Linked DNA regions of Mus musculus. The protein of the gene in region 3 purifies or fractionates together with the protein of the main gene of each other region. This does not show direct contact. Links are inferred from orthologs where the notes say so. Each region holds a gene or a part of one and is shown on either strand. Other genes may lie near its edges. The genes, in order: Med4, Med13l, Med9, Med25, Med31, Polr2b and Med18.

Region 1 (2,998 bases), on a different chromosome or scaffold from region 3:
TACAGGTGTCACCATGCCTGGCCTGCTGAGCTCTTGTGTTATAACATGCATTATGTCACGAGTCTTGAGAACAGCCTGGCCTGTACTAACACTATTTAATAAATGCTGTTATTAGTGAATCTTTCTCGCTAGAGGAGAAAAATGGGCTCATGCAAGGCAGTGATTTTTCCTATGTCGTACTACTAGCAAATGAAGGGCTGCAAACTGAACCCCAGGCTCCTGTTGGGTATTAACCTTTGTGGCCTTTTGCCATATCTGTATACCATCTATTCAATTGTACTGTGTTTTTAACCACCTCATTCTTCAGACTACCTGCATTCTAAGCAGTACTGGGTGTCATATAGCTTCTAATATATCAGTGCAATTACATTTCAAAGTTTTTAAGTCTCTTACTGCCTGTTAAACTTGCCGCCTGAAAGCATTAGATTTTAGAGGAGGTTTTTTTGTTTGATTGTTTGTTTTTTAGTTCCATTGTATGTTAAGGATAAATTTAAAAATTTTATCCTTGGAAGGTGAACAAATCTGAAATTTGGCATGGTACTACTGCTGAAAGATTTGTTCTTTATGGAAGAGGAGCAGAATGAATGGCACTTCTTGGTATTAAGACTGTTTCCCAAAATAACCACAAATGGCATGCTGATTAAGAATATTTCAAGGTGTTAAAATGTATAAACCTAGCCAATTCAATTATAGATTATCTCCTGGTGGTAGCCTTGATAATCCTGTTGTCTGATGGAATCAACTGTTACTCTACAGGTCTTGGAGTTGCTAATTCACCGAGATGGGGACTTCCAAGAACTAATGAAATTAGCACTTAATCAGGGAAAAGTTCACCACGAAATGCAGGCTTTAGAGAAAGAAGTAGAGAAGAGAGACAGTGATATTCAGCAGCTGCAGAAACAGCTGAAAGAGGCCGAGCAGATCCTGGTGAGTTGATGGATGGTCCTGAGAGAGGGAGCTGCTTCATTCTCTTCTGAGGGGTCTGTTATCTTAGTTTGTGTGTGTGCTCGAGCGCAGGGTGTGGGGGGGGGGGGAGCTGCCATTTTTAAGGTTGTTTTTATTTTACTTTATGTGCATCAGAGTTTTGCTTGAATGTACGCATGTATATCATATCATATGTGTGCCTGGTGCCTATAGAGGCCAGAAGAGGACATCAGATCCCCTGGAACTGGAGTTACAGACAGTTTTGTGAGCCACATGTAGTTGCTGGGTCCTCTGGAAGATCAGTCTGTGCTCTTAACCAGTGAACTACCTTCCTAGCCCCCCACCCCTTTTAGTTGGCTAGATAGGACTTTATGCCAATTGCAAACTCAAACTTGGTGGCTATCCTCCTGCCTCATCCTACCCATGGTTCAGTGACCACCCTCCCATTTATTTTCAGATAGCCTATATTATTTTTGTGCTATATATTTTATTTAAATGCTTTATAGAAATTGGAAGGGAATTGTACTTTTGACCTAATTAAGGTTTGATATAAGTAATCAAACTGTCTAGTTTGTGAAATATTTTGGGTCAATAAACATGTACTAGTTTCACAGAATATTTAAAATTTCATTAATCTATCTGCTCTTCCATCTTAAGTTGGTAAGTTATCAATCAAGGCTCTGTATTAGGTGTTCCTTTGTTTTCTATTATTTAAAACATTTCTGTTTGTAAAATAAACGGTTTTATGTGCATGTGTTTTGCCCATAAGAAGGAACCATCACAGGTGAATACTTTGGGGTTTTTGTTTGGATTTTTAAGTAAATGCTTTAAAAAATTTTTTTTTTCCTAGTGAAAGAAATATTTACTTACCAGAAAATACAGAAAGTAGAAAAAGGAAAATTTGCCTTTGTTTTACAGTAGCACAGTGCACATCCAGTGTTGTTGTTGTTGTCTCTCTAGGCAGGGCTGGTGTGTTGTAGTTCCAAGAGGACTTTCTGCTTGTAGCCCTCATCTTCTCTCCTCCCGTCCTAATCCCCACGGAACCCTTCACCCCGGCATTCCCTCCCTGCACGGCCATGGCTTTCTAACAGCTATTTATCAACAGGAGGCTGAGTTGTGAATACATTTCTCTCATTAACTATAAGTGATATTTAATGTGATATAAATGAGATTAAGTGGTGCTTCAGAAAGACGACTGATAAATTTCAGGGATTTCTAAGTCTTGTTATTGTTTCTGTAGGTGAGTAACCTTGTGTATCTAAAAACTGTGCATGATATAGTGAAGAATAATTTGTATTTTAAATTTGTTCAAATTAGGCAACAGCTGTTTACCAGGCAAAGGAAAAACTCAAGTCAATAGAGAAAGCAAGAAAAGGTTGGTACCATGGGAAGGCTGCCTGGCTGAAATATAAGCCCATGTCTTAGGATGCTGATAAGGGCTGGGGAGAAGATGCAGTGGGTAAAAAGTTTGTTCATGTGTGATCCCTAGAACCGCATAAGCTGTGTACGTGCCCACACTCACATGCTTTCACACACACATGCACACATTCTCATATCAATGCACATGAAAATAAAATATTTAGTTGATAAAACTAAAAACTACTCCAGTCGGGCTGTTGGGAGGATGCTCAGTAGTTACTCAGTGTAGCGTGTGATGTGTTCTTGCATCCTGAAGAGGGTACACGTAGCTCACAACCCTCCGTTAGTTTATAACCAATGAGAGAAGCGGATGGGGCTTTATCTCAGGTGTATAGTGAGGACACTGGTTTACAGAAGTGTTGAGAAAGAAGGAGAAGCAAAATTGAAGTTGGATCTTGAATGCTAGGAGGAAACAATGTTGGGAACCACACAGCTAAACTGAGAAGGAAACACTAGAGTCAGAGACCATCAGCTAGTACACTGTGCCTGCCTGCCTGCCTGCCTGCCTGCCTCCTGCCCACTTAAAAGCCTTACATGGTCTAGTTGGTCTTTATACCAAGAGTGAAATTACAGCTGTTTCACTTTAATACTTTGTGCATTTGGTTTACATTTAGCCATTTCTCCATCTCTGATTTGTTCTCTGCTTGCCAGTATG
Region 2 (3,500 bases), on a different chromosome or scaffold from region 3:
GGTTTTATGAAGCACCGAGCCACCGTGGCTGGCTCTAGTTTGCCAGCATTAAGCCAACCCCATTTCATTGTCACAGGACTTTTCCTATGTGCACAAAGTGCCGCAGTTCCAGCCTTTCGTGGGATCCTCCATGTTTGCTCCACTGAAGACGCTGCCGAGCCATTGCCTGCTGCCTCTGAAGACACCTGACGCCTGTCTGTTCCGGCCCTCATGGGCGGTCCCTCCTAAGATGGAACAGCTGCCCATGCCCCCTGCAGCCTCTTCTATTAGAGACGGCTACAAGTATGTGTGGGACTCTACCTACCCCTTACCATATGTGATAGCACCTCACTGTTTTCTCAGACTCGTCCCGGGGCCACAGTGGCTCAGTCTCTGAGACCACTTGCTCGCTTAGTTTCCTTTTGACCATGTTGTCTTGTGCGGGTCTGTGTGTTTATTTTTAAATGTTTCTTCTGTGTGTGTGTGTGTGTGTGTGTGTGTGTGTGTGTGTGTATGTATGTGTGTGTGTTTGTGCGCACTTGCATGTTTGTATACAAATTAAGATTAGAGAGCTGTGTGTGATTCTAAGCTGGTGTTTGCCATAGAATCTACACTTGATTGAAGTTGTTGATGTTTGTGGGTAGTGGGAGGAGCTTTGATTTGTAAGGTAATGGTTTCAGTGTGGGACTTTACAATTAGGTAAAGCAGTAACAGGTTGAGGTGTGGTTGGGGAAAGTAAAGGTAGACATGGCTGGTAACTTGGTTGTCTCGACCTGCCGGAGAAACAGTATTTATACCAGCAGTGCAGACTCCGCTTTCTTTGAAAGAAAGAACCTCTTATTCAGATAATTTGCGAATGCAAATGTGCATCTGAGCCACATGCATGTGTGGATGGATAAGCAAGCAAGTGCAGGTTGCAGGTGTTTTGCTCGGTTTCACTGCAGGGACTGTGGAGATGAGTGGGCTCCAGCACATGCCCCTTCTTAGGGACAGTTGTCAGGCAGGGAGATTGAATATGTATATTGTCTTATTTTAAAATGTTAACCACTAATTCAAAGATAAGCCTTAGGAACAAGTAAAACAAATTTCTGGTTCAGGACTCATTTTTGTCACATGTCTGTGACAGACGCCAGTGATTTACATAGTCAGTGTCAGAATGAGGAACTGGGTAGAAAAAAATGACAGGAGGACCCTGGATTTGGGAGCTAGCACCACCATGCCGTGTGACAGCTCTGCCTTATAAAATGGCTACTTGGGCTTGAAGGGTGCTGCACCTGGGTCTCCCACGCCTTACAGTGGGCTCCCTCTCCCCAGAGCTTTGGGAAAGCTCCAGCAGCCAGTGGCAGCAGACCACGGTGGGGAGGGGAGAGGACTGTGCCGCTGCCCTGCAAGTGGTTGGCCTGGCTGCTGCCAAGCTCCATTTGGGCTCTAGCTGTGCAGCCTCAGCCCCAGACTCTCTGGACAGGCTCTGGTAGTCGTCATGCTCTGAGCTGTCACTATACCCATCACTCACTCCTGCCCTGTGCCCTCTGCAGCAGAGGTTAGGCTGGCATTGCTACAGAGCCTGTGCTTACAGGAAGGTACCTTTTCCCCTACGGTCTGATGTGTCGTGGTCTGATGTCAGCGTTGACCCCTACCATGTGGCTAGTTTGTTGTTAGCTCTGCTTCACTTAAAACTAGCCTTGGGGTCCCAGACCTGCTTTATGGAGCAGGCAGCACAGCTCTGCACTGTCAGGGTCCCACTGGGTTCCCCAGTGCCCACTGCGTTTGGCTCACCTGTCTGTCACACTTGGGACATTTGCTGATGCTTGCTTCAGGACTGCTGCAGGCCACGCCAACTTCTGTCTCTCTGCTGACTGTCCCATTTTTCACACAAGATTGGTCTTCAGTCCATTCTTAATGAACAGGGAAGAATGAGGCTGTTTTCTACCTAGGGAACAAGTGAAGTACTTAGATTTTCAGTTAGCAATCATGGATCCTTTTTGGTCCAAACTGCAGATTCATTTTAGAATTTTGTTGACCAGGAAAATTTAAAGGAATCTAGTGAGTGTGCAGATAGTTATTTATTGCACTGTTGAATTTCTGTATCAGCTTTTGTTTGAACCCAAGAAACCCTTGTATGTCAGGGTTTATATAAATATTGCCTGATACCTGGGACACCTGAGATATCTGGGCCAATGGTGCAGGTTCTAGAAGATTACAGGGCAATAACTGTGTAAGTAATACAGGTGTGCAGCTCACTGAGGAGCACAGGCTTCATGTGCCAAGGCACCAGAACTGAAATACTTGCTGTCCCTGATGACTTGCAAGTGCACAGGCCCATGGGAGTGTGTTGAGATGTTTTATAATGGTAGAACATGCAAATGCTGCAGACATGGTCTCCTTTTCTGCTTGGCTGCTCTTCCCAAGCCACTGCTTATGAGGTAAGCCCTGTCCGTCTGAGGAATGAGAGTGATTGTGTAGAATATGTAACATGGAAGGATAAAGAAAACCGAAAGGGAATCTTCAGGAACCTCTTGGTGCGTCTTTCTCAGTGACTGCTGAGTGACACTAAAGCCTGTGCAGGACAGACAGATGGGCACAACAGTCACACAGTGCTGGGGACACGCAAGCCCTTACCAGGGCTGCCTTCTGAATTAGGAAAGCACCACATTTGAATGTGTGTTTGGTTACAGCTACTTCAGTATCATTACAGAATCATAGCCTCCAAGAAAAGCACACAGGCGGGCTCTCAGTTTCAAAGATGGCAAAGATGTAGCTGCAGGGTGGATGCAAGCCCTGCAGTGCTCCAGCTAGTCTAGGCTGCACTCTGTGCTCCTCACACAGCTTCCTCCATGACCGCTACCGTGCAGGCTCCCCACAGCTCCACAGCAGGTCAAGGTGTGGAGTGTGTGTGTGTGTGTGTGTGTGTGTGTGTGTGTGTGTGAGAGAGAGAGAGAGAGAGAGAGAGAGAGAGAGAATTCTCATGTTCTCCCTCTGCCCCTCTCTCCTTCCTTCCTTCTCTCCCTCATTTTTTCTTTGTTTTTGAAGAGAAAATTGCAGATATTCAGTGCAGGGCTATGGGGTGGGGTGTGCAGGGAGCTTCTGTACACTCCCCCCCCCCCAAAGCTACTTTGTATCTGTTGCAGTAACGTGCCTAGTGTCGGGAGCCTTGCAGACCCAGACTATCTGAACACACCACAGATGAACACACCTGTGACACTCAACAGCGCCGCCCCTGCCAGCAACAGTGGAGCTGGAGTTCTCCCATCTCCAGCTACCCCTCGGTTCTCTGTCCCCACACCACGAACCCCCAGGACTCCAAGAACTCCCAGAGGTGGGGGCACTGCTAGTGGCCAAGGGTCTGTGAAATATGACAGCACAGATCAGGGGTCACCAGCTTCCACCCCCTCTACCACAAGGCCCCTTAACTCTGTGGAGCCTGCCACCATGCAGCCAATTCCTGAGGCCCACAGTCTCTATGTCACCCTCATTCTGTCAGATTCTGTGATGAATGTCTTCAAGGACAGGAACTTTGACAG
Region 3 (4,081 bases):
TTCATTCCACAGTAGTAGTGATAGCTACTGTTTGCTAACACTGCCGTTTTACCATGCATTCTCCCAGATGTCTCCAGAGGTGTCTTCAAGTCTTTTCTGGCACACCTGGTTCCATCTTAGACCATTCTCTTCTCCCTTCTTCCTCAGGAATCATGGCCCTTCCCCTAAGGTGGAGAGGTCCTGGGTTAGAAGGAAATCCTACAGTTTCCTGCAGTGAGAAATGTTCTTCTAATCAGACACTTAGTTCCACAGGGGCCTGTATTCCCTAACTCCACTCCCCCCACCCACCTTTCCCTTTGGGTGATTAGCCCATTGAGTCATATTGAGAAGTTGTGTTCCCACTAATGGGATGAAATGCACCTAAGCCTGAGATGGAAGAAAGTGGCCATTTTGTTGAGTGTTTCTGCTATCTTATCTTGAGTTCTGGTGCACTCATTTTCAAGAAATAAATAAATCACCTTGTTTCACTTTGTTTCTGTCTTCTTTTGAGCAACACTGAGATTATTCTTTTCCTGACAGTGCCTCTGTTTAGAGAACTATCTGCAGCTCTGAAGAAAACAATTCTGAGACCTGTAGCTAAAAAACCTGAAAACACCATTGTGAAGTTCCACGTTCCTGCTTCTTTTTGTTTCTGAGATGTGGGCTCCTGGCCTCTCTTTACTGACATGGTTCCTGTCATCAAAGACAGATGTCCTCTCCCAGTTGACAGCTTCCCTAATCCCTGATTTTTGTTAGTCAGAATCAGAATTACTGCTACCCTTGTCCAGAAAATTTTTAATGGAGCCCATTTGCTTGAAATGAATAAATACAAGCCTATCGTAAAGTTCTCCTATTTGGTCCAAGATCTTAGTCTTATATACGTATGTAGTCTGGCACCTGCTAGATGCATACCAAATGCTTGAAGAACGATTAGTTTTCCCCTTGGCAGCCGTGTGGAACTAGTTTGTATGGCCTGTTTTGCTGTCGCCAGTCTGGGGCCCTCCTGGAGGCTAGCATGACACAAAGACGTGTAAGTCCTTGTCATCTGGATGCTCGCTGCCGCAGAGCCTCAGTTTCACACGGTGCTCACCAGCGTCATCCGTTCTTCCTGCCAGTCCCGGGGGTCCTCGTTGGTGTTTTGACCTCTCTCTGTCATGTGAACTAGAAAGATGACTGGAGTAGATTCCCTAATCCTGACTACTCAATTTAGCTTTCCCGACACCCGTCGCCTAGCAACGCCCGCCCGCCTACGCCCAGGGCGCAGACTCAGAGTTTTTTCCCGCCCGGCCTCCCCGGGCGCGCAGTTGTGACGCAAGCACCCAGCGCCCCTCGGCAGCTGCTGGACTCCTGGTGCTATGGCTTCCTCTGGGGTGGCGGGTGGGAGACAGGCCGAAGATACGCTACAGCCACCGCCCGAGCTGCTGCCGGAGTCCAAGCCGCCACCACCGCCTCAGCCTCTGCCGGTCGCTGCGCTCCCGCCGCCGGCGGCTCCGCGGCCTCAGTCCCCCGCTGGCGCGAAGGAGGAGAATTACTCCTTTTTGCCGTTGGTTCACAATGTCATCAAATGGTAAGGGTCTAGGAAAGGTTAAGACACCACTTTTTGCGACTCTAGTGTCCCTGGTTCCGAGCTGCCAAAGCCCGTGGGCTCTGGACCACGCCCCATTTTCCCAGAGGGCCCACGTTGTCAGGCGCCTTAAGAGTTACACTTTACTCCCGGGTGAAGCCCACGTACTGATCAAATGCATAGATAGGTTCTGCAGTGTCCCATCCCAGATCCTGCAGTGACTTGGGGATGGGTCTTAAGTCCTTACACATAGCCCGAAGGCAATTTTATACAGTTGTTTTAATTCGCCTGCGTTTTGACTGTTCGCATGAAGCCCAGAGCGGAATTTCTCACTTGTGGCATTATATGAGCCCCGAAAAGTGTTCGAATTTTGGTGGACCTCAGACGTTCAGACTCGAGATTCTCACCGTGTACACAGTTTAGTACCCATTTCAATGCGAGGCATCTTACCTGTGTGGGCTCTGTTAGGTACTAGGGTTGTACACCGTAAAGAAAGGAGCAGCCATTTACCCTTACAGGGCTTAACGGTTACAAGCAAAGAAAAACAAACAAACATTCTTAAAAGTGGAGAGATGGCGCACACCTTTAATCCCAGCACTTGGGAGGCAGAGGCAGGCGGATTTCTGAGTTCGAGGCCAGCCTGGTTTACAGAGTGAGTTCCAGGACAGCCAGGGCTATCCAGAGAAACCCTGTCTCCAAACAAACAAGTGGAGAGGGGAGAAGTGATGCTAGGAAACATTTGAAACGAAGACACAGAAGTTGCTCTGAATGATTGTGTCCCACTATTAACTTTATTCTAATAATTCTAATAGAATATACAAGGATGTATGGTCTTTTAGGCCCAAAGTCTCCAGTCTCCATGATGGCCTATGTTTTTGCTCACTCCATATACGCTTGGGTCATTTCCAAGAGGTACACTTTTTGGTGCAAGCATTCTCAAGTGTGCTTTGATAAACTTAGGTGACGCGGAACAGTTACTGCCTGGTGCCTCTTTGTGCAGTCAGGATTCTTAGCAACACTGGGAGTTGGACAGGTTGGTGGGTAAGAGCACTCGCGGTACAAACGGCACAAGGATCTGAGTTCCAATCCTCAGCGTCCACATAAAAAGCCAGTCATGGCTGCTCGTGCCTGGAGCCCCAGCGTCCCAGCGCTACAGACAGATCTCAAGAGCTCTGGCCAGGCTGCCTGGCTGACACTGTTAACTTCCTATTTAATATGAGACCCTGTCTCTAGGCAACAAGGCGAAGCGCTACAGTATAATACATCCATAAACTAGTGACATCATTATTTATTATCATTATCAAGCATTAAGAACTACCTGTAATTGTATAGGTAATACTTTTTATCCATCAGGCAGTATACTTTTTTTTTTTTCACACTCTTGTGAGTGGCGCATTCTGCTGCAACATTACCACAACTACTTTGTCATTAGGCAAAGGAAGGTTTTGGTTACATTATAAGCATTAGACAGTTACTGAATATATGATCTGGCATTAATCAGGTTATTTAGCACATACCTGTATAGCCACAGGACACTAGGTGCAAACCTCTGAATTTCTTCTAAACCATTAGATACTAAAAGTAAATTAAGACAAGATTACAGTTCCGGTCACATTTAGGAACATTGGCAAGCCCTCTTGCTGGAGCTGAGGCAGTCTGGGTTTCTTGCTCTGGTGGTTTGGTGTTTGTCTTAGGACTGCTACTGCTGTGCTGAAACACTGACCAAAAGCAAACTGTGGAGGAAAGGGTTTATCTGACTTACACTTCTGTATCACTTTTCCTCACTGGAGGAAGTCGGCAGCAACCTGCAGGCAGAGGCTGATGTAGAGGCCATGGAGGAGTGCTTTCTTGCTCAGTGCGCTCTCTCTTCCTTTTTTATTGTGTTTGTTTCTCCTTGTATTCCTGGCTGTTCTGGAACTATTTTTAAGCCAGGTTGGCCTCAAATTCAGAAATCTGCTTGCGTCTACACCCCTACGTACTGGGATTAATGTCATGAGCCACCACTGCCCAACTTCAGCGTGCTTTCTTACTCTAGTAAGACCACCAGCCCAGGGTGACTCCCCACAGTGGGTGGGGCCTCCTCACTGTAATCACTAGTTAGGATGCTCTTCAGGCTCGCCTACAGCATGCTTCTGTGGGAGCATTTTTCCAACTGAGTTTCCTTCCTCTCTGCTGACTCTGTGTTAAGTTGACATAAAAGTGGGATAGCACAGCGCTCATCTGCCGCTTTTCAAATGACTGCAAAACCTTGGTTCTCACGTTCACTCCTCTCTTGGCTTCAGACAACGTGAACCTCCCGTATGCAGGGTAAGGCAGACTGTCCCCTCTGTGTTAGCTGTTGGCAAATACATTATGAGATGGAAGTGAGGAAAATAAAAACCATCTCAGGGCAGTGCTGGAGTACTGGTTTATTCAGAGTAACTTGCAAACATTAAAAACATGGGAAATCAGAACACAGATGTATACACATTCACCTATACCTCAGGAAGGATCCTCCTGACCCGGAAGAGCAGTTGGGTTGGGCCAGCCTCAGTGACA
Region 4 (3,500 bases), on a different chromosome or scaffold from region 3:
CATGACTTTGTCCCTGGCAGTGGCCAGACCCACCGAGTCTGTCTCCTCATCTGCAACTCACCCCCGTACCTCCTGCCCGCCGTGGAGAGCACCACCTACTCAGGCTGCACTACCGAGAGCCTGGTGCAGAAAATAGGAGAGGTGAGGGGAGTGCTGAGTTGGGGGCTGCACCCCTGTGTGGGAGAGAGGGAGGGAGGGAGGGGGAAGCCCACACCTGGATCCTAGGAAGCAGGCTGGGGTCCGAAACCCAAGGCAAAAAATAGCCAAAGTCTCTGTGCTTGCTTACGACTGTCCATACTCAGAATTCTGGGTAACCTAAGGCCAGGCTTTACGTGCCCACGGTGTGCTGTCCCACCCCGAGGCAGGGGAGGAGACTAACTCCAGCACGTTCATGGAGGCCATTATTGCTTTCCCCTTCTGCAGCGAGGCATCCACTTCTCCATCGTTTCTCCGAGAAAGCTGCCAGCCCTCCGGCTTCTGTTTGAGAAGGCGGCTCCTCCTGCCCTACTGGAGCCTTTGCAGCAACCAGCAGACGTCAGCCAGGACCCCAGGCACATGGTGCTTGTGCGTGGGCTCGTGCTGCCTGGTGAGGCCTGGGTACTGTACGCTAAAGGGGGGGTTCCTTTTCAGTACTCTGTTAACATGGATTTTTGGTTGTCCCTTTTCTACCCCCAACTCCTTCTCTTGGGCCTGTGTTGTCTCTCCTGTGCTCAGTTGGTGGCAGCTCGACCTCAGGCTCTCTGCAGACCAAGCAAGCAGTCCCCTTGCCACCAGCTCCAGCTTCTGCTGCCACGCTGTCAGCAGCGCCCCCGCAGGCTCTGCCCCCTGTCCCACCACAGTACCAGGTATGGATGTAATGGGGGGGGGCAGCTCCTGGGGCCCTGTGGAGACTTGGCCTCTGTGGGGGTGGAGTCAAAGCTCCTGGGTCATCAGAGCTGTGTATTTTGCTTCGGGGTGCAGAAGTACATAGTTCTAGGGGCACATGGTCTTCTTTCATGTGACAGGTTCCTGGGAACCTAAGTGCTGCTCAGGTGGCTGCGCAGAATGCTGTGGAGGCTGCCAAGAGCCAGAAGGCCGGGCTGGGCCCACGCTGTGAGTTCTAGAAGAGGCAGAGGGGGCTTCCCTACATTCTGACCCAGCTACCCACTCACGCTGGTTTCTCCCACAGTCTCACCCATCAACCCTCTCCAGCAAGCTGCTCCAGGAGTGGGGCCCCCCTTCAGCCAGGCCCCAGCACCCCCATTGGCTCCTGTGCCCCCTGGAGCTCCAAAGCCACCTCCTGCCTCACAGCCTAGCCTAGTCTCCACCGTGGCCCCCGGACCAGTCCTGGCAGCTCCTGCGCAGCCTGGGGCGCCGTCTCTGGTAGGTGGCTCGTCGTCCCCAGCCTCAGGCTGCTGCTGTGCTCACAGTAGATGAAAGGTGGTACCTAGCCTCCCGCAAGGGGCCTGAGCTCCACGGTGAGGTGCATAGCTGTGATGTGCAGCTCTGGGGCAGGGCTGTGGGCTCCTGGCCTGAGGAACCCAGGTATCCTGGAATTCTGGGAGTCTGGTTCCTCATGCTTGGCATGGATGGTCTCAGACATATGGTTAGTGGTCGCGGAGGTCCTTTGTCCCGCTCCTATAAGGTGTCTACTCCCCGACAGAGCATGGTGTCCTCATTGCTGTTTGTCCTCAGCAGGCAGGCACTGTAACCCCAGGTGGGGTCAATGGTCCTTCAGCAGCCCAGCTTGGGGGTCCTGCACTTGGTGGGCAGCAGTCAGTATCCAACAAGCTCCTAGCCTGGAGTGGAGTCCTCGAGTGGCAGGAGGTGAGTGGCTGAGAAGGGGGGCTCCCAGAGCACTTAGGATATGCAGAGGAAGGCAGGATGTGTGGCCCAGCTCTCAAGTTGGCATTTAAGAATTATGTTGGGGGGGCTGGTGAGATGGCCTAGTGGGTAAGAGCACCCGACTGCTCTTCCGAAGGTCCGGAGTTCAAATCCCAGCAACCACATGGTGGCTCACAACCATCCGTAACGAGATCTGATGCCCACTTCTGGAGTGTCTGAAGACAGCTACAGTGTACTTACATATAATAAATAAATAAATCTTAAAAAAAAAAAAAAAGAATTATGTTGGTAGCCGGGCGTGGTGGCGCACACCTTTAATCCCAGCACTTGGGAGGCAGAGGCAGGTGGTTTTCTGAGTTCGAGGCCCGCCTGGTCTACAAAGTGAGTTCCAGGACAGCCCGGGCTATACAGAGAAACTCTGTCTCGAAAAACCAAAAAAAAAAAAAAAAAAGAATTATGTTGGAGCCAGGCATGGTAGCATGTCCCACCATTCCCAGTACTGGGGAGGCAGAGCCAGATGGATTTGAGTTTGAGGCCAGTGAGTTCTAGGATGGCCAGGGCTACACAGAAAGACCCTGTTTCAAAAAACCAAAAACAAACAAAAAATTTTATTGGAGCTCATTGGTTGAGCAGTTGTCTACTAGACACAGGCCTCCATCCCCAGTCAGTCAACATGCGTGCACACACACACCCAAAGCAGCAAAAACCAAAATTTGTGCTTTCAACAGGGTTCCAGATATTGGGCTCTGGAGGATAGTGACCATAAGATTTAGGGCCCAGAAGAGGGACCCAGTGTTTGTGGGATCTGGGCACTTGAGTAGGGTTGCTGGGAAGGTGGGGGGAGGGGTTGTGGGCCTGCAGGAGCTGGTGAAGGTTAGGTCACCAGGCCTTGGTTGAGTCACCCTTTCTCTTTCAGAAACCCAAGCCTGCATCTGTGGATGCCAACACCAAGCTGACGAGGTCTCTGCCTTGCCAGGTCTATGTGAACCATGGAGAAAACCTGTAGGTATTTGTCAGGGGCGGGGCAGGCTCAGCCTGACTGCCCTGACTCTCCTTTCCCTGTGCTGCCTTCCAGGAAGACTGAGCAGTGGCCCCAGAAACTGATCATGCAGCTTATCCCTCAGCAGCTGCTGGTGAGTCCTGCCCGGCCAGGCCTGCCTGGGCCTCACACCTTGTTCCTCACGTGATGCTTCCCCTCTGTGTGTTGCCCCACGTGATACCTGTATGCTTCCAGACCACCCTGGGTCCGCTGTTCCGGAACTCAAGAATGGTTCAGTTCCACTTCACCAACAAGGACCTGGAGTCCCTCAAAGGCCTCTACCGCATCATGGGCAATGGCTTTGTGAGTGCACTAACTCCTGTCCCCTTCTCTGCCAACTTGGTGAGGGCCCCGGGGACCCAGCCCCAGGAGCTGCTGATCCTCGCACCCTGTGCCTTATTGTGGCACTGCAGATAGAACCTCGTCCTTGCTTAAGTACATGTGTCCTAGGGCCCACTGAGTCCCTGAGATAAGACATACTGTGTAGCAACACCTCCACGTGGACGTCCTGCTGCCCCAGGCTCCCTTGGGTTGCCTTTGTAGGCTTGTGCAGTGGAGCCTGACTTCTCTGCCCCTCTTGTTTTCTGTTGGATAGGGCCTGCCCTTGCAACTCATCTGACCTGTTGTAGGGGCATCT
Region 5 (4,300 bases), about 12 Mb from region 3:
TTCTTTTGATGATCTCAGAATAAAATTCAAGCTCTTTACTGTAATCCCAGAAGATTTCCAAGACTCTATATGAAGTGGCATCTTCCTCCTTTTTGTTTTCTTCCTTATACCACGCTCTCATATACTAACTGATCTTTCTCTTACATAAACATCTTTGATTTTTAAAAAAAATGTAGACTTTCCCTTCTGTCTAGAATGCACTTCCCTCTAGATCCTGATATGGCTCACTGTCCACTCACACAAATCTCGGACCAAATGTAATCAGCAAGGCTTTCCCTGACCATATTCTCTAAAGAGTTCCCTACTCTCTACCACAAGACAGACAGCCTTTCCTTCGCGGGAATACAACAGCATGTTGTCTTACTTTCCCCTTTGTTGCATGTCTCTTCATTAGAGGAAGATCCTAGTCTTTTCCACTGCTCTAGCTGCCATGCTCTAACTACTACCTAGCATGCAGTAATACTCAGTTACCATCCTGTCAATCTCACGCCTCAGGCCAAGTGTCATGGCTTCTTCTTTACTTTCCCTTCCAAGATTATTAATGGTTTTATTGATTGTTTATTAATTGTCCTGTTTTTTCCTATACCCCCTGATTTAATTTTTTAAGTGTGGGTGGAATACTATGTATGACAACATGAGAAAATGTATAATGAAATATAAGTATTAATAAAGGCCAATTAATAATGTATGAAAGATGATACCTTGCCCTGTAGGTTTCAAGCAGGTATATGATCAGGCCAGCGGTCAAGAATCATGACAAGTTTGGCCCCTCTTTGCAAATTTCAAGTCGTCAACACATCCTAGAGTGACCTAAGACTATAAAACTTACCTGGTGTAGAGACTCAAAGAATCTCATTGTCCATCAGCCAGGTTTATACTGCACTACCAGTCTGAAACCTTCTGTGCTGGCTTCAAGTTAATAGCACACTGGGGTCAACAACAGGATGGTCTAAGGTGCTGCAATGTCAATACATGTTAACAGCCCCCAGAAACCACAGCCTGTTTCTTACACTGATTTATGGGTTCTTTCCATGAAACCAAAGATGCTCGGTTCTCCTGGAAGATGGCTGGCTGGCAACTCTTCAGTCCTGGCTAAGGACCTTTGGCACTTCATCGAGCCATTCTGGCACTCTGCCTGGCTGGGCTCTCAACACGGTGCACAGTAGTCTCCACCCTCAGGGATGACGACGCCCTGACGTGGCGGGAGGACGTTTCCGTGCACTGCGAGGAGGTTTCCACGTGCTGGGAGGACACCTCAAGGAACTGAGGGAGTCGCTTCGTGGAGGGGGTGAGGGAGGGCCCCTCTCGGTGGCGCTGGGAGGTCTCCACCTGCCGGGAAGACGTTCGAACCTGCCGGGAGGACGTCTCCACGCGGTGGGATGACGTTTCCTCGCGGTGGGACGACGTCTCCACGCGGACAGTCGATGTCTCCTTGTGGCGGGTGCTTTCCACTCGCGGGGCGGAGGACTTGCTCCTAAGGGGCGAGGCCATCCTGCCCATACACCTTGGTCAGGTGGGACAAAGAGGCCCAAGGATCATGCTCTGCGTCACGTCACACAGGGAAAGGTGACGTCAGGGTGGTGTATTACGTCGGGGTAGGTAGCAGGACTCTGAGACCTAAAAAATGAGAAGTCCTCCGGCACGCCCCGCTCGATATCTGCGCGCGCAGCCGGCCGGGTCTGCACAGATAGGTGGGGCTAATTTTCCCATAAGTGAGGTTGTCCCCGCCCTCGTGTCCCACTCTGCCCCGCGACCGGAAGTAGGAGCCGTGGCTTCCGGATTCTCACCAATCGAAGTCGCGGTTCGGTCGGGGCTGGTGGTGTTCGCCTCACTCTGATTGTTATGGCCGCGGCCGTCGCTATGGAGACAGGTACGTTGTGACTTGCACCCCGAGTCTTCACCCCAAGGGAATGGTCCTACGCCCCGAAATTCCCTCCCTTTTCCCTTTTCCTGCGCTGTCTTTCGGGTTCAACTTGGCATCCTTAGAGTTGGGACCGGCGGAGGAGAAGGCTGTGCTGCTTCTCAGACTATGGTCTGTGAAAACATCTTTGCTCCTGGGTTGCTCAAACCCCTACTCCAACCCTGGCTCTTGGGGCCGTGCAGGGCCGTGGGAGAGGACTGAGACCTTCCACTGTCTGTGCTGAAGGTACTCCCAAGAACTTGCCCGAAATATCGATAACCTGTGTATTCTAATGCGGACACCGCCTTCTCTCCATTGTTTAATCACTTTGCATCATGCTTCGGTTTTGTGTAGCACATTGATTTTGCTTAACGTAATCACAGTTGATAGTTGTGGTTATAACAACTTAGGGAACCGCACAGCTATTACAGACTGTCCAGTGATCTCCGCTAACAAAGTGGCCTGCAGGTGGTAAATTCCCATTCAACTTATTTTTTCCTCAATTAACTTTAAAGGATTTCTTTACTATTTTTTGTTTTACTATTTTTGTTTTGGAAACAGGGCCTCATTACTTAGTGAATATATATATATATATATATATATATATATATATATACACACACACACACACACATATATACACACACGCATATACATATATCTTTAATTTCTAAGAAAGTCTCTTCTGCACTTTGATATTTGTCTTTTCTCCTAGATGATGCTGGAAATCGGCTTCGGTTTCAGTTGGAGTTGGAATTTGTGCAATGTTTAGCCAACCCAAACTACCTTAATTGTAAGTTAAGTACATCACTAACTTAAGCAACTAGCTCTTAATTTCTGAGAAGAGATGCAGTTTGTAATACTATTTATTACTTCGATGTGTTTGAATGGGATTTTATTTGTTCTGGTCTGTAAGTTAACTGGGCAAACAAAGGCTTGTGTTTTTAATTCCTTGTGTTCTGTTGGTAGGGATGTTAAGAGCTACTTTGTTTTAGAGATTACTAATCAGTAGTCCAGCGGTTGGTTGACATACGGATTGTTTCTTTGTGTCTTTCAGTTCTTGCCCAAAGAGGTTACTTCAAAGACAAAGCTTTTGTTAATTATCTTAAGTATTTGCTTTACTGGAAAGAACCAGAATATGCCAAATATCTAAAGTAAGTTTAATTTTTATAATCCTAAATCTGTGTATACTTTATCATAAATACAAAGTGCTGATACTGAGCAGTTTTCTCTGTGTGGGAATGGAAAATGATATTTTGAATCTTTCTGCTTTTAGTTAATGTAAGATACTGTCATCTGTAACTTAGATTATTTTAGGAATTGCATTTATTTCTGCTACCATTCTTACCTCACTCCCTTCAAACAGAACCAAACAACTGTCTTCATGGGAGCCAGCTTACTCTCTAAGTAATATAAGCCAGAACACACCACTTCTGTTCATGCAGGCTAGCTAAGATCCAGTCAACTGGTTTCAGACTATAGTTCTAATGTAATTTGGTGTCTAACCTTGTCACTTAGCACTGCCCTTGTCTTTCTGGATTTTTAATGCCTACCAAACTATAATCTAGGAAGGTAGGAAGTATTGTTTTCTGGGAGTTTTAGAGGTACTGCCCTTCTTTATAGTGAGTGTTCTTTGTTTCGAGCACTGTGCTAAATGTATTGTACACATTAACTCACTGTAAAAGAACAAACACGGACACTATCAAACTCAATAGCTTTGACTTAAAAAAAAAAAAAGAAGAAGAAGAAGCTGGCACACACCTTTAATCCCAACATTTGGGAGGCAGAGGTGGGCACATGAATTCAAGGCCAGCTTAGTCTACAGAGCTACTTCCAGGGCAGCAAGCTCTACACAGGTAAGCCCTGTCTAGATGTGCCTCTCAAAGGAGGAGACAACAGAAAAACCAGAAGTTTAGCCTGGCATCCCTTTAATCCCAGCTCTCAAGAAACAGAGTCAGGTAGATCTCTATGAGTTTGAGGCCAGCCTGGTTATGTAGCAAATTTCAGGCCAATCAGGTCCACACAGAGAGACTCTTTTTTGTTTTGTTTTGTTTTGTTTTGTTTTTCGAGACAGGGTTTCTCTGTGTAGCCCTGACTGTCCTGGAACTCACTTTGTAGACCAGGCTGGCCTTGAACTCAGAAATATGCTTACCTCTGCCTCCCAAGTGCTGGGACTAAAGGTGTGCGCCACCACTGCCCGGCAGAGACTCTAATTTTAAAAATGAGAGTAAAACATTTCAAAAATTTCTTTTTATCCTCGTTACCTTCCTGACTTGATTTGCTGCCTGTAGATTTGCTCTTCATGATGCAATTATAGATTCCTTTAGGAATCCAAATGATAGACTTGAAGTTATATTAGAAGATATAAAATGTTACATGCTAGCAAATTTTCAGACCGGA
Region 6 (3,500 bases), on a different chromosome or scaffold from region 3:
CTTGGAGTTTAAGGCCAGTCTGGTCTACAGAGTGAGTTCTAGGATATCAGGCTACACAGAGAAACCTGTATTTGGGGTGGGGTTGCGGGGGTGGTGAGCACAGCTAACGATGCTGTGGGAGAATACATGTGTAGGACACAGGCATTCTTCCTCATGTGACAGTGGCCACACAATAGGGAATGCTTCTTTTGATAGAATCCAACTTTCTACTGTTCTGTTCCTTTTTTTCCCTTAGTAAGTTTCTTTTCCTTTTTAAAAAATCATTTTTATTTTATGCGTATGAGTGTTTTGCCTGTGTATATGCCCAATGACCATGGAAGCCAGAAGAGAACATCTGATTGGAGATACAGATGGTTATGAGCTGCCGTGTGGGTACTCGGACTTGATCCTGGGTCCTCTGGAAGAGCAGCTAGTGATCTTAAGTGCTGAGCTATTTCCCCACTCCCACTTTGAGACAAGGTGTTTGCTCGGGAGTCTTTGCTGGCTTCAAACTCACAGAGACCCATCTGCCTCTGCCTCCTGAGCGTTGGGATTAAGGGTGTGTGCCACCATGTCCAGGTATAGTATAGTAGATTACACACACACACACACACACACACACACACACACACACACACACACACACATACACACACAGAGATACATACATACACAGAGATACATATACACACACACAGATACATATACACACACACACAGATACATACACACACACACATAGACACATACACACACACACAGATATACACACACACAGATACATACATACACACACAGAGATACATACACACACACAGATACACACACACATACACACACACACACGCACACGTACACGCACACCTGGTATTAGAGTGCAGAGTTTCTGGGGTTTGGAATAAGGACAGTAATGAACAATATTGTGGTGCTAGAGACTTGCTATGAGTTAATCACTGGTTTGTACAGAGTTATACATGCATTTCTCATGCTTGTTGGAGGAGCTGTGTGGCGTGTTAAATACTTCCCGTTAGTGTCACTTAGGAAAGTCCCCTGTCTTTCTGCTCCAGGAATGAGGCATGCCATCTATGAAAAGTTGGACGATGACGGTTTGATAGCTCCGGGGGTCCGAGTCTCCGGAGATGACGTTATTATCGGCAAGACAGTCACCTTACCCGAGAACGAGGATGAGCTGGAGAGCACCAACAGGCGCTACACCAAGAGGGACTGCAGCACTTTCCTCAGAACTAGTGAGACGGGCATCGTGGACCAGGTCATGGTCACTCTCAACCAGGAAGGATATAAATTTTGTAAAATAAGGGTGAGTATAGTTTTATTCATGTAGACCATTTTAGAAATTAATTGCGTTTCAGTTTCTAACTCATTTTTATGTGAAACCAGGTGCGCTCTGTTAGAATTCCGCAGATTGGAGACAAATTTGCTAGCCGACATGGTCAGAAGGGAACTTGTGGTATTCAGTATAGACAAGAGGTAGGTGTCTCCAGTCTTTCTCTTGCCTAACCCAGAGTTGTATTGAAAGATTAATTAAAATTTCCTGTAGCTTTTTTTTTTTTAATTTTAGTGTTTGTTAGCCTATTATGTTGAAAAGAATTAGGACATTCAAGTTTTCCCTTGGGAAGTGTCAGGTCTGTCTAGCTTTGTCTCTAAGAGATTCCCATGTCTTTATGTTGTTTACAATTTTCTCTGTAGGACATGCCGTTCACTTGCGAAGGCATAACTCCTGACATCATCATAAACCCCCACGCCATCCCCTCCCGGATGACAATTGGTCACTTGATCGAATGTCTCCAAGGGAAGGTAAGATTTTGTCTTGAAAAGCAATAGGTTCCAACTTGATGTTTCTTTCATTTTGGTGACCATTTCTCTGATCATTGAGCCAAGATACTTTGTTAAAAGCTAATATGATATTTTCCTGCATTCAGACTGGTTATTCCACTTTTTCATGCTTTTTCATTTTGAAGAAATCTGTGAGTGGTTAGGGAGCCGGCTTGGTAGATAGGGGCATTTCTGTGCAAGCATGATGCCCTCGGTTTATTCATGTAAAGAGTCATGAGACCCAGGGCTGGGAAAACGTTAGCAAGCCTGACAGCCTGAGCTTATACCTGATCCCGCCCGCATGCTGGAAGGACAGATTAACTTCTGATCTCTGCATAAAGAAATTGATATATAAATAATGTGTGTGTCGAGGGGTGCTGTAACCCCAGTCAGTGTATTGTTGATGTGTGTGGAGACAGGAGAGTCACTGTGGATTGGTGGCCCAGCTCAAAGTTCAGGAAGGAGAGACCTGTCTCAGGGCAGTATGAAGAATGATAGAGCATTGGTTTTTGCCTGTTGCTGTGATAGAACGACTTAGGGAAGAAAGGGTTTGTTTGATCCCACAGCTTACAGTCTTGCCTATCTCGAAGGGAAGTCAGGGCAGGAACTAAAACAGGCTGTGGAGGATCCCCATGCCCCGGGCTTGCCCAGTTTGGTTTCCAGTACCACACCTGTTCCTGGATGGTGGCCCTCAGGTGCACTGAGCCTCACATGTCCACATCAGTCAAGACAGGTCCTCACAGAGCAGTCTGGTGGCAGTTCCCCAGTTCAGGCTCCCACTTGTTTCTGGTTGACAAGTTAACCAGCAACCTGATGTCCTCTTCTACTTCTACACATAGATGTGTGTTCCTCCCTTTCACATACACATACCAACACACACGTGTTTGCACACTCGAAAAACTGCCAAGTATTACCAAGGAAGAGTTTTTGCCCAAGTACCTTGTGCTAGCCAATTATACCACTGGGGCTTAAGACTAATTTATTTGTAAGATATAGTACAAACAGCATTTGCAGATATTTGTGGTTATAGCAACTGGCTCTTTTCTAGAGATGAGTTAATTCATAGACAGTTCACTTAGTATGGCTTTAGGAAATGTTAAAATTTTGGTATCAGCTGTGTATTCATCTTTCAGGGTAAGTTTTCTGGATTTGGGTGTCTTGTTAAAGTAAAATGATAGTAGTCTAACACGATGGCTTCATTTAAGACATTAAGATGTTGTTTTCCATGAGTACATCAGACGTGTTTGGGATCCTTGCTATCTTCGTGTAGGATCCCATGGATAGACTTCAATCTGAGAGCATTTTAGCCCTTGTTTTTTAGGAAATTACTTTGTTACAAGTATCTTTCTTAGGTAAGATATTAAAAAAATGATTCTCAGTATATCACAACTTTTATAACCATTTTTAATTTCAAAATTTTGCCTTTTATAGAAAACATTTTTAATTTGGGTCTCTATTGATGTGTGACTTCTTTCATACGTGCTTTCATCCCAAAGGTCTCTGCCAACAAGGGTGAAATTGGTGACGCTACTCCATTTAATGATGCTGTCAATGTGCAGAAGATTTCTAATCTTTTGTCTGACTATGGCTACCATCTCAGAGGGAACGAGGTACATTTACTATAACCTGAATGTAGCAAGCATATTCTGTGGAGGGTACTTTTATATATATAAGAAAGCTGTTTACCT
Region 7 (2,693 bases), on a different chromosome or scaffold from region 3:
TAATCTTATTTAATCTTTGTTGTTGTTTAATTTTATTATTTTATAGTGCTAGGAATTGAACCCCGAGCCTTCTGTGTCAGTCCTCAGCCGTTAAGCTCCATCCCTCAGCCTTGGTCCTCTTGGTGCCTTGATCAAACCCCAGCAAGGCCTTGCATCTGGAGCACATGGTCTCTCACAGATCTACACCCAGCCACAATGATTTATTTATAGCCAATGCAATTTTTCCATTTGTAGAACAAATTCAGATTTTCTTTTTCATATAATTATACTTCAGAACAAGAAGCCGGGCATGGTGATAACACCCCTTTCATCCCATTAAGGCAGGCAGGTGCTGGAGCAGTAGCTGAGAGCTACAGCCTGAGCCACTGACAGAAAGATGGGGGCCCGCTTTTGAAAACTCCCACTGACACACCTCCTCCAACAAGGACGTTCCTCCTAGTCCTTCCCTAAACAATAGGAAGTAGAGACTAGACATTCAAATCCAGGAGCTGTGGGGGCTACTGTCATGCAAACCACTACCCGGCATTTGCTGCTAAGTCAGACAACCTGGGTTCAATCTGGGACCCACAGGGAATCCGTTCTAGCGGGTTATCCTCCAACCAACATTTATGTGCCATTGTATTCTCGAGTTTGCCGAGACAAGAATGACTAAATATAAAACGTTTTGAATAGACAAATAAATAGAATCCCATGGATTGTTCTTAGAAAACGTTGCATAGAACTATTTATTTGGTGTGTGTATCTTTCGCTGGTTTCATGACCCTAAATGAAATGAAAGCCGGGACTCACTGTGCTTGTGCCTCTTCAGGAAGTGTTTTGGACCACAGTTTGGAAAGCCTCATCCATCGCCTCCGAGGTTTGTGTGACAACATGGAGCCTGAGACCTTCCTTGATCACGAGATGGTCTTCCTGCTTAAGGGCCAGCAGGCCAGCCCGTTCGTCCTAAGGGCCCGGCGCTCCATGGACAGGGCAGGGGCACCCTGGCATCTGCGATACCTGGGACAGCCCGAAATGGGAGACAAGAACCGCCACGCCCTGGTGCGCAACTGTGTGGACATCGCCACGTCTGAGAACCTCACGGACTTCCTGATGGAGATGGGCTTCCGCATGGACCATGAGTTTGTCGCCAAAGGACACCTGTTTCGGAAGGGCATCATGAAGGTTGTGGTGTACAAGATTTTCCGAATCCTGGTCCCAGGGAACACGGACAGCACCGAGGCCCTGTCCCTCTCCTATCTTGTGGAATTAAGTGTTGTCGCCCCGGCTGGGCAGGACATGGTCTCTGATGACATGAGGAACTTTGCAGAGCAGCTCAAACCTCTGGTTCACCTGGAAAAAATAGACCCCAAAAGGCTGATGTGATGAAGAAAGTTTGTCGGCCTTTTAGGCCTGTCCCCACCTGGGAGGTGAGAGACTTCGAAAGTAGCCCAGGTACTGCTGCCAGCCGGGCCCACTTCCTTCCAGAAGATGATGGCGAGACCTGGTTCCTTTCAACTGTTTCCTTCACTTGGTAATGTCTCTTTTTTCTTGCAACAGGGTTTTACCATGGAATTCACTACATAAACTAGCTACCCTGGAACTCAGGACCCTGTACTTCCCGCCTAAGTGCCTGCAAGGTCCTTATTAAACCTGACTGTTCATCTTCTTGATAGGCTTTTCCAATGAAAGACCCAGGATAATATGGAGATTTGTTCAAGTCCTCCCTCCACTCAAAAAGAGGGAACTGGAATAAATTAGCTTTTCAGAGGAAAGGTCAAAAAACAACTCATAATATTTTGCTTTTTTTTTCTTTTTTCTCTTCTTTTCTTTTCTTTTTTGTTTTTTTTTTTTGTTTTTTGTTTGTTTGTTTGTTTGTTTGTTTGTTTTGTTTTTCAATACAAGACAGGGTTTCTCTGTGTTGCTTTGGCTGCCCTGGAACTCACTTTGTAGACCAGGCTGGCCTCAAACTCAGAAATCCACCTGCCTCTGCCTCCCGAGTACTGGAATTAAAGGCGTGCGATAACACGCAAGCCCGGCTGTTTGTTTTTTTTTTTTTGTTTTTTTTTTGTTTTTTTTAGAGAAACATTTTTTATTCCTTTATTTATTTGTTGTTTTCTTCATATGTTTTAAATTGTGTTGTTTTGCCATTGATATACAAGGTTTACAATGGTGGTGTGAGCCAGCATTGTGTGGTAATAAAGACTGAAAAGACTCAGTTGTGATTCTGATTCTTACTCGTCTTAACTCCTTCCTAGTCTACTTCTATATTGCTATAGTTCTGTCTTACTATTGTTGTTATTGTGTATGCTGTGGGGGCCTCTCCAGGACCCACATGGGAGAAAGAAAGAACCGACTCCTGCCTGTTGCCGTCCTGTTTCTCCACAGGATTGGTTGAGTCCTGCACCCACATGTGTGCACACCCACACACAAATGTAATCAAAAACATTCAAGTAGCTGGTGATGGAGAGGTGGCTTAGCTGCTAAAGAGCACTGGCTGCTCCTGCAGAGAGGACCAGGCTTAATTCCAACACATCCTTGAGTGCTGACAACCTTCCGTAGGAGTCCAGTTCTAGGTGATTGGATGCTCTCTTTTGAAGTACACAGGCACCAGGCACACACTCAGTACACAGACATGTTCAGGCAAGAAAAGGGCCATGTGCTGGTGGTGCATGCCATTAACATTAGTCCTGGCACTCAGGAGGCAGAGGCAGGCA

The links.
Region 1: the proteins of Med9 (region 3) and Med4 purify together in Homo sapiens (affinity purification with mass spectrometry; 10 studies listed by BioGRID and IntAct, with this or other methods). This does not show direct contact. The link is inferred for Mus musculus from reciprocal best matches to the Homo sapiens genes MED9 and MED4.
Region 2: the proteins of Med9 (region 3) and Med13l purify together in Homo sapiens (affinity purification with mass spectrometry; 5 studies listed by BioGRID and IntAct, with this or other methods). This does not show direct contact. The link is inferred for Mus musculus from reciprocal best matches to the Homo sapiens genes MED9 and MED13L.
Region 4: the proteins of Med9 (region 3) and Med25 purify together in Homo sapiens (co-immunoprecipitation; 3 studies listed by BioGRID and IntAct, with this or other methods). This does not show direct contact. The link is inferred for Mus musculus from reciprocal best matches to the Homo sapiens genes MED9 and MED25.
Region 5: the proteins of Med9 (region 3) and Med31 purify together in Homo sapiens (affinity purification with mass spectrometry; 4 studies listed by BioGRID and IntAct, with this or other methods). This does not show direct contact. The link is inferred for Mus musculus from reciprocal best matches to the Homo sapiens genes MED9 and MED31.
Region 6: the proteins of Med9 (region 3) and Polr2b purify together in Homo sapiens (affinity purification with mass spectrometry; 4 studies listed by BioGRID and IntAct, with this or other methods). This does not show direct contact. The link is inferred for Mus musculus from reciprocal best matches to the Homo sapiens genes MED9 and POLR2B.
Region 7: the proteins of Med9 (region 3) and Med18 purify together in Homo sapiens (affinity purification with mass spectrometry; 6 studies listed by BioGRID and IntAct, counting the BioPlex papers as one, with this or other methods). This does not show direct contact. The link is inferred for Mus musculus from reciprocal best matches to the Homo sapiens genes MED9 and MED18.

What each region holds. Positions count from the first base shown.
Region 1 is NC_000080.6:73,513,049-73,516,046, forward strand, and holds part of Med4 (mediator of RNA polymerase II transcription subunit 4), read left to right. Parts: intron 1-756; coding exon 757-927; intron 928-2,241; coding exon 2,242-2,299; intron 2,300-2,998. UniProt on the Homo sapiens protein: Component of the Mediator complex, a coactivator involved in the regulated transcription of nearly all RNA polymerase II-dependent genes.
Region 2 is NC_000071.6:118,738,719-118,742,218, forward strand, and holds part of Med13l (mediator of RNA polymerase II transcription subunit 13-like), read left to right. Parts: intron 1-76; coding exon 77-282; intron 283-3,107; coding exon 3,108-3,500. UniProt on the Homo sapiens protein: Component of the Mediator complex, a coactivator involved in the regulated transcription of nearly all RNA polymerase II-dependent genes.
Region 3 is NC_000077.6:59,946,933-59,951,013, forward strand, and holds the start of Med9 (mediator of RNA polymerase II transcription subunit 9), read left to right. Parts: upstream 1-1,281; 5' UTR 1,282-1,334; coding exon 1,335-1,546; intron 1,547-4,081.
Region 4 is NC_000073.6:44,882,425-44,885,924, reverse strand, and holds part of Med25 (mediator of RNA polymerase II transcription subunit 25), read left to right. Parts: intron 1-20; coding exon 21-141; intron 142-423; coding exon 424-586; intron 587-714; coding exon 715-845; intron 846-1,004; coding exon 1,005-1,092; intron 1,093-1,168; coding exon 1,169-1,362; intron 1,363-1,674; coding exon of another isoform or gene 1,675-1,677; coding exon 1,678-1,806; intron 1,807-2,740; coding exon 2,741-2,826; intron 2,827-2,899; coding exon 2,900-2,957; intron 2,958-3,058; coding exon 3,059-3,166; intron 3,167-3,500. UniProt on the Homo sapiens protein: Component of the Mediator complex, a coactivator involved in the regulated transcription of nearly all RNA polymerase II-dependent genes.
Region 5 is NC_000077.6:72,212,531-72,216,830, reverse strand, and holds the start of Med31 (mediator of RNA polymerase II transcription subunit 31), read left to right. Parts: upstream 1-1,500; 5' UTR 1,501-1,842; coding exon 1,843-1,870; intron 1,871-2,615; coding exon 2,616-2,693; intron 2,694-2,957; coding exon 2,958-3,054; intron 3,055-4,300. Other genes in the region: 4930563E22Rik (uncharacterized protein C17orf100 homolog), read right to left, coding at 1,111-1,500. UniProt on the Homo sapiens protein: Component of the Mediator complex, a coactivator involved in the regulated transcription of nearly all RNA polymerase II-dependent genes.
Region 6 is NC_000071.6:77,341,484-77,344,983, forward strand, and holds part of Polr2b (DNA-directed RNA polymerase II subunit RPB2), read left to right. Parts: intron 1-1,046; coding exon 1,047-1,297; intron 1,298-1,377; coding exon 1,378-1,467; intron 1,468-1,686; coding exon 1,687-1,794; intron 1,795-3,308; coding exon 3,309-3,422; intron 3,423-3,500. UniProt on the Homo sapiens protein: Catalytic core component of RNA polymerase II (Pol II), a DNA-dependent RNA polymerase which synthesizes mRNA precursors and many functional non-coding RNAs using the four ribonucleoside triphosphates as substrates.
Region 7 is NC_000070.6:132,458,229-132,460,921, reverse strand, and holds the end of Med18 (mediator of RNA polymerase II transcription subunit 18), read left to right. Parts: intron 1-808; coding exon 809-1,362; 3' UTR 1,363-2,193; downstream 2,194-2,693. UniProt on the Homo sapiens protein: Component of the Mediator complex, a coactivator involved in the regulated transcription of nearly all RNA polymerase II-dependent genes.